Linked DNA regions of Cricetulus griseus. The protein of the gene in region 2 interacts with the protein of the main gene of each other region in a pairwise test. Links are inferred from orthologs where the notes say so. Each region holds a gene or a part of one and is shown on either strand. Other genes may lie near its edges.

Region 1 (6,409 bases), on a different chromosome or scaffold from region 2:
AGCGTGTGAGGCGGTGCTGCCCAGGACTGAGTGGTAGGGTCTGAAGCAGACAAGTTCCAGGGGCACACAGAGGTCCAGCTCAAGCTTCGTGCTCCAGAAAGGCACCTGACAGCCGCTTCACAGGGAGGGCTGAGTCGGGGGATGGGACTTTTTTTTTAATGCACAGGATACAGTTATGAACTCTTCACACATGTACAGGCACTTTGAGGACTGGTCATTCTAAAGGTGTTTTTATTAAGACCTGGTTCCGTCACAAAGTATAAAAACTTCTAATACAAGTTATGAGAAATACACTCCAACTAGAGCAGGAGATTTCAGCTCGGTTGGCAGAGTACTCACCTAGCATACACAAAGCTCCAGCTTCAAGCCCCAGTGTCACACAAAATCCAGAGGTAGTGGTACATACCTGTAATCACAGCACTTCAGAGGTAGAGACAGGAAGTCAGACGCTCAAAGTCAGAGTTGGCTACATAGCAAGGTGAAGGCCAGCCTTGGCTACATTGAGAACTTCTCACTAAAACTAAAAACAAACAAAAATTCACCTAATTGACTCAAACAAAGTAGGACAGAACACCAGTAGAATTGATTACTATGCTACAATTTTTGGGGGGGGGTGTTTGTTTTTTGAGACAAGGTTGCTCTGTGTAGCCCTGGCTGTCCTAGAACTCACTCTATAGACCAACCAGGCTGACCTTGAACTCGGAGATACGCCTGCCTCTGCCTCCCGAGCACTGGGATTAAAGGCGTGTGCCATCACCATCCAGCTTTTTTTTTTTTTTTTTAAACAAGGTCTCACTGGTACTCAGGCTAGCCTGAATTCAAGATCCTCATCTCCATAATGCTGGGATTACAAGTGTGCACCACTGCACGAAGACACAATTTTCATGATCATGCAACAATCTGAAATTCAGTTCCCCAAACACAAGACTCAAAGAACCAGAGGAAAGCATCTCATTTTTTCTCCCTTAAAAGACACAATTCAAACTGGTTACTTGGACTCACGCTAATTCACTTCCATAGCCAGGCACTGTCAAGATGGTATTGGTACTCTCAACTGTATACACCGTTAGGGACAGACAGGCTTCAGGTGGAAACCACAGGCTAGGAACCACCAGGAGACAGCAGCCCCTTTCATGTCCCCTACTCCAGGGTGCAGTTTAAGTTAGGCCAAACAACTACAAACAACTGAAGATGCATTCCAAGTTTAGAGTAAACTACTCCACTGTCTACTCAGGGAAATCCAAACTTGCACAAAAGCCCCCTGCTTGAAATTATGTAATGACCATGACCCCGCCCCCCCACCCCTCACCCCTCACCCCTCACCCCTCAGCCCAGCCCAGCCCAGGACAGCAGCAGGAGGTACCTTGCAGGATCTTTGGGGCCAATTACAAGTGAACTTCTTGCTCACCTCCAAGATAGAGAAACCCACAAAGAAAACCAGTCATTGTTCCAAAGGTGTTTATTTTTAAATTCGTTGAAAGAAATAAAATTATATTTAAAAAAATAGAGTAATCTCAAACTGAAAGCCAAGAACAAAGAGAACAAGTTAGTATTTTTCCTGAGAGGCATGTGATCAGCTCTATGAAATCTTCCCTAACCTGTCAAACACACAGGCAGCTTTCCTATTTCTAAGGCATCACAAGCACTCTGGGTGCTCATGGGTTGTTCAGGCACGAAGGAAGCTTCAGCCCTCCAGTTGGGGGTGGGGGTGGGGGCAGGGGGCGCAGAGACAGCAAACACCGCTGCATTTCCTTTCTTATCAACTGAACATGTTTCTACTTTCATAAATTGGGAAGTGTAAAAGATGAGTGGACTCGCCACCTGGATTTCAAACCCCCCTGTCACAGAGGGCCAGGCGCAGAAGGAAAGCTGACCCTCCCTCTGCACCTGTAACTAGTCAAAGGGAACCCATCCCAGGAGACACAGCTGGACTCCTAAACAACCAGACCTGTCCACAAGGCAGATCAAACTCTAAAGGTTCCCCAGAAATGAGTGACAAAAGCCACTTTACAATTTCCAAAGTCCTAAGCTTCCCTACTCACCAAACCTGGTTTCCCCCAATTTTACACTGAGACAACTATCAAGCTAAGCATCATTTCTACTTTAGTAAGAAAGTTCCAAGGCCAGCTAACGTTTGTGCTCTATGCAGAACTGCTTGCTGGTGCTAAGGATCTGATTTTGAAGGTAAGGGCAGTTGGAACTGGTTTGTATTGAGCACTGCCTTCCCTACGGCCTGTGTAAGTCCTTGCACCGTGACCACAAATTCCACGAGCACATCCGTTTGTGAAAGCTGGTGTGTGGAGTAGGAGTTTCCAATGTCTGAAGGTATTTACAGATTCAAGGAGGACCTAATTGGTCTCCCATTAAGTTCATTACATAATTTCAATCAGCTGGTAAAGATTAGGATTGTTTGGGAGCATCCTTGTCAGTCAGACAAAACATCTACCAATCTTGATGAGTAGATGGCTATTCCAACCAAGGGAAAGTGGTGCTGGACCCTAACTTTTAAAAACTCCACTCATTTCTTGGTTCCCTAAGAACGGTGTCCGCTCCTGTCTTCGGCACAGTGGCCCTAAAAGGCTTTGCTGAGCTGCAGGGCACCAAACTCTTCTGCCACGCTCGGGGAGTAACCTGAGTTACACTGGGGCTACAGTAACCGAGTCTTAGTAGGAAACAGGGCCAGAAATGACCATGTTCAGACAAGATTCCAGGCAACACAAACTGTAATCATGCAAGACTCAGGTTTTAGTCACCATCTCAGGAACCAACAAATTTTAGCCAGGAACTGTGCAAAACCCACGAAGTTCCAAAGACAATCTAAACTACAGCAATGATAAAAGTAGAGCCCCTAGAGACACCCTATCGGCTTTTCAGTTTCACAACAAAAAAGTCAGTATCCTGAGTTTCATCAGCATTTTCTCTCTAAAATAATTTATACAAAACATAAAAGCATACTAATGGATACACGGAGACAATGAAACATTAAGTCTGGAAGAACAAACACCCCATTAAACTAGAAAAGAAATGCCTCAAAAAAAGAAAAATACAGATTTAGGAAATAAATTAAAGATTGAAACCTTATACTTTCAAGTTTTCTTTGACTATTCTTTTGAGAGACGGCATGAAGTTGATACATTTTTCTAGTAATCATTTAGTAGGGATCAAAGGCCCAAGCGTGCCTCTTCACACTTGCACACACACAAACCCTGCCTTTAAAAATCATGGCCCCCTTGGCAGTTATTCTCAACACAGGAAAAACCAAAAGAATTAGTATTCATTTTGTTTGTTTGTTTTTGAGACAGGATTTCTCTGTGTAGCACTGCCTGTCCTGGAACTCACTTTGTAGACCAGGCTGGCCTTGAACTCACAGAGATCCACCTCCCTCTGCCTCCAGAGGGCTGGGACTAAAGGTATGTGACATCATGACCAGCATAAACTAGTTTTCTAAAGCATGGTCTGTATCATCCAGCCAAGGCATTTTATTTACTAAGTTGGCTGTCCAAAAAAAAAAAAAATTTAAAGGTGCTCCCCCCGCCCAACAAATGTTACTTTTACTAGCATTCACAGAAACTAAAATGTCAGTACAGGTAGACACTTTTTTAGGACTCAAGATAATGCTAATCCAATAAAGCAAAGGACCCCAAAGTCCAATCCTTCTCTCTCTATGCCCTTTAAAACAAACATGGGGGGAAAACAAAACCACTTCTTTCCTTCCAATAAAGCAAAGGACCCCAAAGTCCAATCCTCCTCTCTCTATGCCCTTTAAAACAAACACGGGGGGAAAACAAAACCACTTCTTTCCTTCCTAAATGCAATTTGTATTTTTAAACACCTCTCTGATGTGACCTGAATGGGGTTTCTTTACTTTGCCTGAAGTCGTTTTAAAAAATATAGACGTACTCGTTGGGAAAACCAATGCCAATTATGCAAACACAGGTTTATACTAGCTATAAAATGGGGCCAAATTATTATGACTGGTTTCTGAAGCCCTAGAATTTACAATACACAATTTAAACTAAAATCACGAATCCAGGAACAGAGATGGAATCCAGCGTTTCTTAATCCAAGGTACTGTCTCATTAAAACCCTAACCCTTCTACATGGCCTTCCATTTTCCCGTTCCTAGAAAAAGAAACATTTCTGGGGAAGTCAGGATTTATTAAGAATAGTAAGGTCCAGGAATTTTATTTTAACCATAAACCCTAAGTTTTCTTTTAGTGCTTCAAAGACCCATTATCATTAAGACCAGATAAATTACATGGCTAATCCACTGTTCAGTACTGAGCCTAGAAAATAACCTCAGATGGAACAAGACCAAGCTCAGCCACTGAACTGGCGGTGCAGGTGTTCACACCTCTCGAGTTCAGGTCCATGGCGCCTGGAAGGAGAACTACTGCCCTGTGTTGTCAGAATGTGTCGTGGTAGCTTCAGTGCTGACAGGCTGCACGTTGTCTGCGAGGTTGTGTGCGTGCTCGAGAAACAAGTCTTTCAGTACACTCAACTCCTTTGTCAGCAACTTAATTTTGGCTTCCAACCGTTCATTCTCTTCTTTGAGCTGGTTCACTCTTTGAAGTGTATCTTGAGCTTTCTGCTTGCTTTTTAATCGACTCTTTTTCACGGCCATATTGTTCCGCTCTCTGCGCTGGCGATACTCGTCACTATTTCGATCCATGGGCGAACTCTTTTTGCTTTGCTTGCTTGGAGGCGCAGCTTTGCCTCCTCCCCCGGGCCCGGCAGGCACCAGCTGAGGGACCTGCTGTAAGCCACTGGCATGTGCCTGAGTGTGAATGACACTTATTCCGTTCACTCCTGGAGCAGTGGCTGGCTGCGACAGCTTGCTCATTTGGGCGAGTTCCTTTGCCAACACAGAACAGGCAGAAATCAGAGCAGTGTGACCAGCAGAGGCTACACCCCAAGTGCCAAAAAATCTTCACATGTACCTAGTTAGAAAACAAGTTGCGTTAAAATATTTGAAATGACAGGATCAAGTAAGATTAAACTTGCGTGGACCTAACATAGCAGGCAACCATTAATTTTGGTTTTGCTGACACAAACAACTGCCAAATGTTGCAGTGTTTCCAAATTTCAAAGGTAAGTTGATTCAGAAGCCAGCCCCACCTGAGGCTAGCGGTGATCATCAAAAAGAAAAAAAAAAAAAAGAAAAAAAAATTAAGCCTAGCACAAATCAGGTAGCATATGTGAGCTAAGAGCACGTGGACAATCTGCCGGGGAGAAGTCTGAGCTGTCTGGTTGGGGCCAGCATGGGGAAGCAAGTTCAATTGCTATAGAAGGGCCGGCCACCTGCAACCAGAGGAGGGGTGTTTCAAGTCAGGTCAGAATGCTGGAGCAGAAGGCCCAGCCTGCAGAACCCATGAGGGTCAAATCGATCGGGGGCCTCCCCAGTCAATATTCCCAGGGTGACTTAGCAGTGGCATCACCTATTGTGTGGGCTATTTTTTTAAGGCAGGGTATTTTCAGTTGGTTAGCTGATTTGCCTTTTTGCATTTCAGCAAGCTTAAATGACAGTTTACTGAAATTTACTCAGGCGGCCTCTGTTCGGGAACGGAGACATCCAATAGAGTACCCCCCTTCCAGCCTGTGTCAGTTTTTCATTCGTGACACAATCACTTAGCCCAGCAAACTTCTATCTCCAAAAAATATTTACATCACAATTCATAGCAGTAGCAAAATTACAACTATGAAGCAGCAATGAAAGTAATTTTATGGTGGGGGGGTCACCACAACATGAGGAACTGTGAGGAAGGGTCAAAACATACGGATTCACAAAAGAAACAATGTTCTAATGACACAGCCAAGGAAGGCCAAACACTGGAACCCAGGCTGGCCCAAGGACAGGGCAGCCACTGTTGGTACCCACTTCTCACTCTCAGAGCTCAGCAGACTCACTGAAGCACTTCTGCGAAAGCCCCCGAGACCTGGCTGGCTATCTATCACCTGTGAAAGCACACCTGCTCCATCCCCAAGAGGACATGTCACTATAAACCCAACAGCTGAATCAACCATGTCCACCTAGGAGACACAGCACCCTTTGAAAGCACTGTGACCCATCACACCGCCCTGCTCTCTTCCCAGAACTGCTAAATAATGGACAAAGTTAGGAAGTTAACTGGAGTTAGGAAAATGCTCCAGTGAGACACCCGGTCCAGTCAGTAAACATCAACAGCTTCACCCAAACTTTGGCCAGGCTTCTTCAAGCATGCTTATTAAGTTGGCCTTTTATTATTTATTAATCTTTGCCTTTAAATGTCCATATATCATTACTTTGAATAGCTTAAAAAGCCACTCAGCCAGCCCTGAGCTAGTGGGTCATCTGTTCTTACTCCAGCACTAAAGCAGGACAGAAAGAAAGCTTCCTTCCAAGCCATGATGGATATGAACTCAATAACAA
Region 2 (6,942 bases):
ACTGAGATAACATACACCCATTGTTTTAGTTAATGCAAACAGGTAGCAACTGCGGTAGCAACAGGAAAATGATCCCGCTGAGCTTGGAAGCGCCCCTTCCCCCAGTAAGGACCTCCCAGTCTTTAGTGGCATTGCCTTCCCGCCTCACTCCCTGCTTTCCCAACCCCCTTCTCCGGCTACCCTATCTGGACCCCTGGTACTTATGCCTCAGTTACTAGGAAACGCTGCTATCAGCCTGCAGGCAGCGCCAGCTCCTTCAGTCCAGACACCTGCATCACTAATTTCACTGGGACACAAGCTGCAGACCTCCTCATTTCCTGCTGGCTGTATCTGTACACCTCCCGGAGGGAGTTCAGCGCTTCCTTGAAGCTCCCCCCGCCGCCCCTCCCCCCGCCACTGGTGGCAGCCAGCTAGGCGGAAGATTCCCTGACTCATAAACACCTACTCCATCCCTCTGTCCCCAGGGCCATTTCAAGAACAAGCCTGCAGCCCTTTCAGAGATCAACAAAACATCCTCCTGCTAGTGTATAGCTCAGCCTCTCCTTATTTTCCTTGTCGATGAAATTAGGATAAAAATACTGCTTTGCCTCTCCCACTTGGCTCACAGCAAAATGGTCAGCATGAAAAAGTGCACGCTCCATCGATGGAAAAAAAGCATTAATTTATCAGATGACACCAGGCCAACCCATTATCGTTATTCCACAGTCAAGGAGAGGGACAGATTTTCTCTTTGAGTCAGGTCCTGGCACCAATCCCCTAGCCCTCCCCACCCCATTGCTACCTGACTGCGAGTCTCCAGTCCTAAGCCTCCTCGTGGTGCTTCCCAGAGCTGAGCTTTCAGGGCTGGCGTCAGGGTTAAGAAAGGCTGCCCCCTGCTGTCCACCTGGTTCCAAACCATTGCAGTGCCGAACTATTTAGGACGTATTCATTTAGGAACCAATACCGTCACCTAGTGGCCAATAACGACAGGTCACCAAACTGAAATCTCTTAGCTTTGATATCTATTTGTCAGGGACCTGTAGAATGAAAAGCAGAAATTGCCTCCCCCCCCCCCTTCTGGTGCTCTGCTTCTAGGATACGGGTGGCTCTCATCCTGCTCCTCCAGGGCTTTTGGAGGAAGCATATTTGGCCATAATTCAGGCTGTGCTCAGAACATGTGGGGCAAATTGTGGCATTAGAGAAGATGTCATGGAGGTTTCTATCAAGGATACAATGTCTGACTTGTGGGCAAGTTACATTTGCAGTTTTATTTTAGTGTTCAATGACATATGTATGCTATCCAAGCTTACCCCTGCTGTGACCCCCTCATAGTTACCTGGCCCTTGGAATACTCAGCTTAGAAAATACTCGGTTCTTAGGGTAGGAGAGGTGGCTCAGTGGTTAAGAGCACTCACTGCTCTTCCGGATGACCTGAGTTTGGCTCCAAGCACCCATATTGGGTGCCTCACAGAAGCCTGTAATTTAGTGCCAGAAGATCTAACATCTCTGACTTGAGAAGCCAGATATCTTTCTGATATCTTCTGGAAACCTCGAAGTGTGCACATACCCACATGCACACGCACACACGTGCGTGCACACACACCCCTACAATTTAAAAAATAAAGACATTTAAAAAAGAAATGTGTCCTGTGATTTCCAGGACAGTCTCCAAACCTACAGAGAAACCCTGTCTTGGAAAAAAAAGAAAAGAAAAAGAAAAGGAAAAAAGAATCTGTCCCTCTCCCCAGAACATGTTAGTAATAAAAGAGACAAGAAGGTATGATGTCACACCTGTCAACTCAGCTCTAGGGAGGCTGAAGCAGGAAGACTGAGAGTTCAAGGCCAGCCTAGGCAAACAGGGAGCCTCAGCCTAAACAAATAAAAAGGAGTCAGGCAGTGGGGGCACACACCTTTAATCCCAGCACTCGGGAGGCAGAGACAGGTGGATCTCTGAGTTTGAGGCCAGCCTGGTCTACAGAGCAAGTTCCAGGATAGCCAGGGCTACACAGAGAAACCCTGTCTCAAAAAAAAGGGGGGGGGAGAAAGAAAGGAAAAAAAGAGAGAAAGGAAGGAAGGAAACACATTTCTCATTTCTACGTGTTTTCTTGCCACTAAACCTGGAGCCCTGCTTGAAGGGCTCTAGAAAACCAGAACCACAACAGATACCTCTGACTAGGGAGCAGGGCATTCCCAAAAGGAAAAGAAAAGTGAAATTTGGGGATTAGTGGACAATGAAGAACAGTCAGGCAACTACAGGCTTCTCCTATGGTCGCAGAGACATCCCCAAGAAGAGGTGAGGACAAGAGAGAAGACTTCTCAAGCTTACAAGAGGAAGTGGACACACTAGAGGTCAGAAAACAGTCATGCAGAAGGAAAGACAGCAAACGAAGCTACAGTGAGCTCCAGAGCCTGCATGCACACCAGAGCACAGGAAGTAGGAGGCAGAGCCTCTAGCCAGTGTGGGGTGGGGTCAGCCTGAGCCTCTTTCAGTGAAGGTGGAGCAACTGGGGCCTCCATGGATCTTGTCTGTCTGTTCTGGGGCAGCAGCCTGTGAGGTTCAGGGCCCATGTCTTGACCAGAAACCTCAGCTATGTCCAGGCAAACTGTGGCAGGCTGCTAGAGGTAGCCAGGATGGGAAGCATGTGAACAAGCCCTGTACAAAGACCAAGCCAAAGACCCTTAATAAAGCTGCACTCTGGAGGCAAAGGCGGGCAGACCTCTGCGAGTTCAAGGCCAGCCTGAACTACATAGTGAGACCCTGTCTCAAAACTAGCAAATGAGTGTGCCCTGTGCTAGGGCCAGGGGAGGCTTGGTCCTAGAATCTATTACTACTTCCCAAAACCCTCAAACAATGATGCCTACACTGGGGAGAATGCTGTGGGAGGTGGGGCTATACAAGGAACTGACTTACCCCCCGGGGAGGTGGAGTTCAGGACTTGGGGGGACAGGGAGGAAGATGGCTCAAGGGAGGAGTTTAGACCAAGTTGGCACTGGAGGAGTGCTTTCTCTACTGGCTCTGGCTTGGTGCCCTACTCTGCACAGATCTTTCTGGAAGCTGGAGGAAGACAGACACTCAGAGGAGCTACCCTGGACAAGGGGTTGGAATCCCTTAACCTAATAGGACAAGAGGGGACATTTTCCCAAACAGCAACTTCTGGACTGTGGCTGGGGCCTCACCAAAGAGCGCCCTAACTGCTAAGCACCCCTCCCTCTGGGGTGTGCCCTGCCCCTCCCTGACTCACACCAAGGAGAGAGGGGAAAAGGGAAGAAAGGAGAGGCTCTGACTACAGAAGGAAAAGGAAGCAGAGGAGGAGGAGAGAAGCCACGTAGGAGTGGGGGACAGAAAAGACCAGAGAGGTCAGACCTAGGGCAACTCTAGGGCCGGGGGAGATCAAGAGAGGGCAGGCTGAGCGTTCATCCCAAGGAGTGCCCCAGCACAGGACCCAGGGGCGGGGAGCCAAAGGGGCGGGACGGCTATGTCCCACGGGACCTACTATGAGTGTGAGCCTCGGGGTGGCCAGCAGCCACTCGAGTTCTCAGGGGGTCGAGCTGGGCCCGGGGAGCTGGGGGACATGTGTGAGCATGAGGCCTCCATCGACCTATCTGCCTACATCGAGTCTGGGGAAGAGCAGCTACTTTCTGACCTCTTTGCCATGAAGCCAGCACCTGAAGCCCGAAACCTTAAGGGCCCAGGAACCCCTTCGTTCCCCCACTACCTGCCGGCTGACCCTCGGCCATTTGCTTATCCCTCACATACGTTTGGCCCAGATAGGAAGGCTTTGGGGCCTGGCATTTACGGTAACCCAGGGAGCTACGACCCCAGGGCTGTGGCCGTGAAGGAGGAGCCCCGTGGGCCAGAGGGCAGCCGAGGTACCAGCCGAGGCGGCTACAATCCCCTGCAGTACCAAGTGGCACACTGTGGGCAGACAGCAGTGCACCTTCCCCCGACCCTGGCAGCACCTGGCCAGCCTCTACGCGTCCTCAAGGTAAGACCAAGACAGCTCTCCCTTGGTTCCTCCCCGGGTTGGAGCAAGATGGTTGGTTGGATGAGGGAACTCTGACATGGGGCTTACCCAACAAGTCTATGTTTGGTGCTCCTCTGTGAAAACGGCCCACTCCACGGCCTCGCTTCCCCACTCCGTGAATTCCGAGCTCCACTGTGTCCTGAAGACCTTGTGGTAGCTGCTCTGCCCTAATCTGCGGTCCATATACCCCTTCTCTTGCTTCTCGGCTGTGTGCTTCTGGAAGAGGAAATACTGCTGATTGTAGAATTGTAGAACAGGAGACTTAAAACAGACAAACCAAAGGAAAGTGTCCTAAGAGAAAATGAGAGCATGAAAGACAGCTTTGATCTCAAACCAAATACCAAGTGCATCTGGGTTCCCGTCTTTCACAGAGAAAGGGCAATGACTGGGAGATGGGAGCGGCCTGGGAGCCCTCTATTCCTTGGAAGCCCCAAGTGTGCCCTTGCTGCTGGGATTCCTGCTCAGCCCCTATTTTGCCTGCTGATGGACCCTCACTTCTCTGTCCCTCTGACTTGCCCTCCAGGCCCCTGTGGCTGCTGCTGCCCCTCCCTGCAGCCCCCTACTCAAGGCACCTTCCCCAGCTGGGCCCTCACACAAGGGCAAGAAGGCAGTGAACAAAGATAGCCTGGAGTACCGGCTGCGACGCGAACGCAACAACATTGCAGTACGCAAGAGCCGGGACAAGGCCAAGAGGCGCATTATGGAGACACAGCAGAAGGTGCTGGAGTACATGGCTGAAAACGAACGCCTGCGCAGCCGTGTGGAGCAGCTCACCCAGGAGCTAGACACCCTTCGCAACCTCTTCCGCCAGATCCCTGAAGCTGCCAGCCTTATCAAGGGTGTAGGGGGCTGCAGTTGAGCCTGCTTGGCAGACTATGGACACCAGACCCTAAGGACTCCTACCCTCCTCGGTCCCCAGAGTCCTGAACAGACGATGCCTAAAATAGGGATCATGGACAATGGCAGCCAGTAGCTGGGAAGGTCGGGACCATAAAGATTCTGTTGCTGAATAAACTGCAGTGTGACTTGATGCTGGAGCTGTTCACTGGGTCTCGGGCCTGGGCCTGGTGGGAGGGCTGTGCATATACACGCATGGAAGACCCCGAGGGCAGGGAATACATGTGGCTAGGTTCACATGTTCTTGTATCCGTGTACACATGAACACCTAGTAAATAAACCTAGTAATTGCTGCCCACAACTCTCTCCAGCCGAGCTTGCTTGGTGTCACCACTGCTCATGCCAGGGCCTGCAGCAGCCTCTGCAGACTGTCTTGTCTTGAAGAATTCTGGGGTTCAGGGTGATCCCAACACTGCACAGCACCAGTGCCAGGCCCACTGACCCTAGGCCCGCTTTCTTGCTTTAAGGCCTGGAAGCTCTTTTCCCAGGTGACTTTCTAATGACTCTGCCATATTTGTGGTCCCTTAGCTCTTGACCCAGCTCTCTGTCTCTCTTCTCTTGTTCCACATCTCCACTCCTATCTTTATTTCTCATCCCCTAGGCCCTGGCTCCCTAACACTGGAGAAGATGAACACCTGGGGAGAAGTCAGTTAGGATGTAAAACCCCGCATTCCACGTGTTTTCTTTCCCATAGAACTGCAGCCCAAGAAGCAAAACTGTATAATAATTGAGTCTCGGTTTGCATCTCTGACTTGTAGCCTGTCTGACCCTGAACCAGTTACCTCTCCTTTCAGTGCCTTGGTTTCCCCATCTGCACAAGAGGAATCTCGGTACCTATCCCGTGTGTTATTTTCATAGAGAAATGGGGTTTGACATGTGGTGAGCGTGCATATCTGTTCTGATTCCGTTTTGCTAGAGACAAAAAGACATCGGATCGCCTCCAAACTTCTCTTTTTGCAGGTGAGGAGCCTGGGGCCCCAGAGAAAGGAAGAGACTGCCTGGAGTCACACAACGATGTGAAGGCAGAATCAAAATTAGCTCCGTGAAATCACAGATCTCAAGAGGTTCTAGGAGAGACCTCAAGAGATCATCTGTGCGAGCTTTGCCCTCAGACAAGCAAGATAGTGTGAGCCACATCTTGTAGATAAAGCAGGGAGGGCCAAAGGGGATAAGAGCTCACTCAGTCCTTTGCTGCCTCAGCACAGGGTACGTCTTTCACATTCTCCCCTCAGAGAAAACAGCACAGATGTGCCACACGTGCCACAGTCAAGAAAGAATTGTGGGGGCTGGGGCTGGGGCAGAGTTGGCAGCGTGCTTGCCTAATATTTACAAGACCTGGGTTCCATCCTGAGCACTGAAAAACAAGAAAAAGTAACAGTGAACTGCCCCACAATGTTAGAGACTAGGCAGGATAAGAACTACAGTGTGGGGGCTGGAGAGATGGCTCAGTGGTTAAGAGCACTGGCTGTTCTTCCAGAGGACCCGGGTTCAATTCCCAGTACCCACATGGCAGCTTACAACTGTCTATAACTCCAGTTCCAGGAGATCTAATACCTTCACACCAATGCACATAAAATAAACTTAAATAAACTAGTTTGAAGAGCTACAGTGTGTGTGTTTGGGGGGCTTGGGTGGGGGCTGGTGTATATGGATCATCACAGGTCTGTTTCTCTTTCCACTTCAGACCTCAGTGGTACAAGCTATCACACATCCCGGGTATCTGTGTGCACCAGGCTAACTGTGGCCAAAACTCTTCCCACATCTGCCTCAGCACCCTCTCTTTTCCCTGTGTCCTTGAGTCCTCAGCCAAGCTCAGATCAGGGTGATCAGACTTGAACCTTTGGCTGGAAGGGACCGATGGAGGCAGCTTGAGTAGGAGGTAAAGGTGCCCTCTCTATGGCACCTGGGAAAATCCTCTCACCTTGCCTTCAGCCCTTGGGATGCATAAGGGGGGTTGCACAGAATGCAGCTGGTGGCTCAGTCTCACAGTTCCCTCCACTTGGCTTAAGGCCACCCCAGCTACCCCAGGACTCCTTTTGAA

What was found. The genes of interacting proteins can lie anywhere in the genome.
Region 1: the proteins of Cebpe (region 2) and CCAAT/enhancer-binding protein gamma interact in a two-hybrid assay, tested with the Homo sapiens proteins (2 studies listed by BioGRID and IntAct, with this or other methods). The link is inferred for Cricetulus griseus from reciprocal best matches to the Homo sapiens genes CEBPE and CEBPG.

The regions. Positions count from the first base shown.
Region 1 is NC_048602.1:3,445,534-3,451,942, reverse strand, and holds the end of CCAAT/enhancer-binding protein gamma, read right to left. Parts: intron 4,941-6,409; 5' UTR 4,844-4,940; coding exon 4,391-4,843; 3' UTR 1,442-4,390; downstream 1-1,441. UniProt on the Homo sapiens protein: Transcription factor that binds to the promoter and the enhancer regions of target genes. Binds to the enhancer element PRE-I (positive regulatory element-I) of the IL-4 gene. Binds to the promoter and the enhancer of the immunoglobulin heavy chain.
Region 2 is NW_023276807.1:209,924,453-209,931,394, reverse strand, and holds Cebpe (CCAAT/enhancer-binding protein epsilon), read left to right. Parts: upstream 1-2,905; 5' UTR 2,906-3,455; coding exon 3,456-3,965; intron 3,966-4,527; coding exon 4,528-4,863; 3' UTR 4,864-5,034; downstream 5,035-6,942. UniProt on the Homo sapiens protein: Transcriptional activator. C/EBP are DNA-binding proteins that recognize two different motifs: the CCAAT homology common to many promoters and the enhanced core homology common to many enhancers.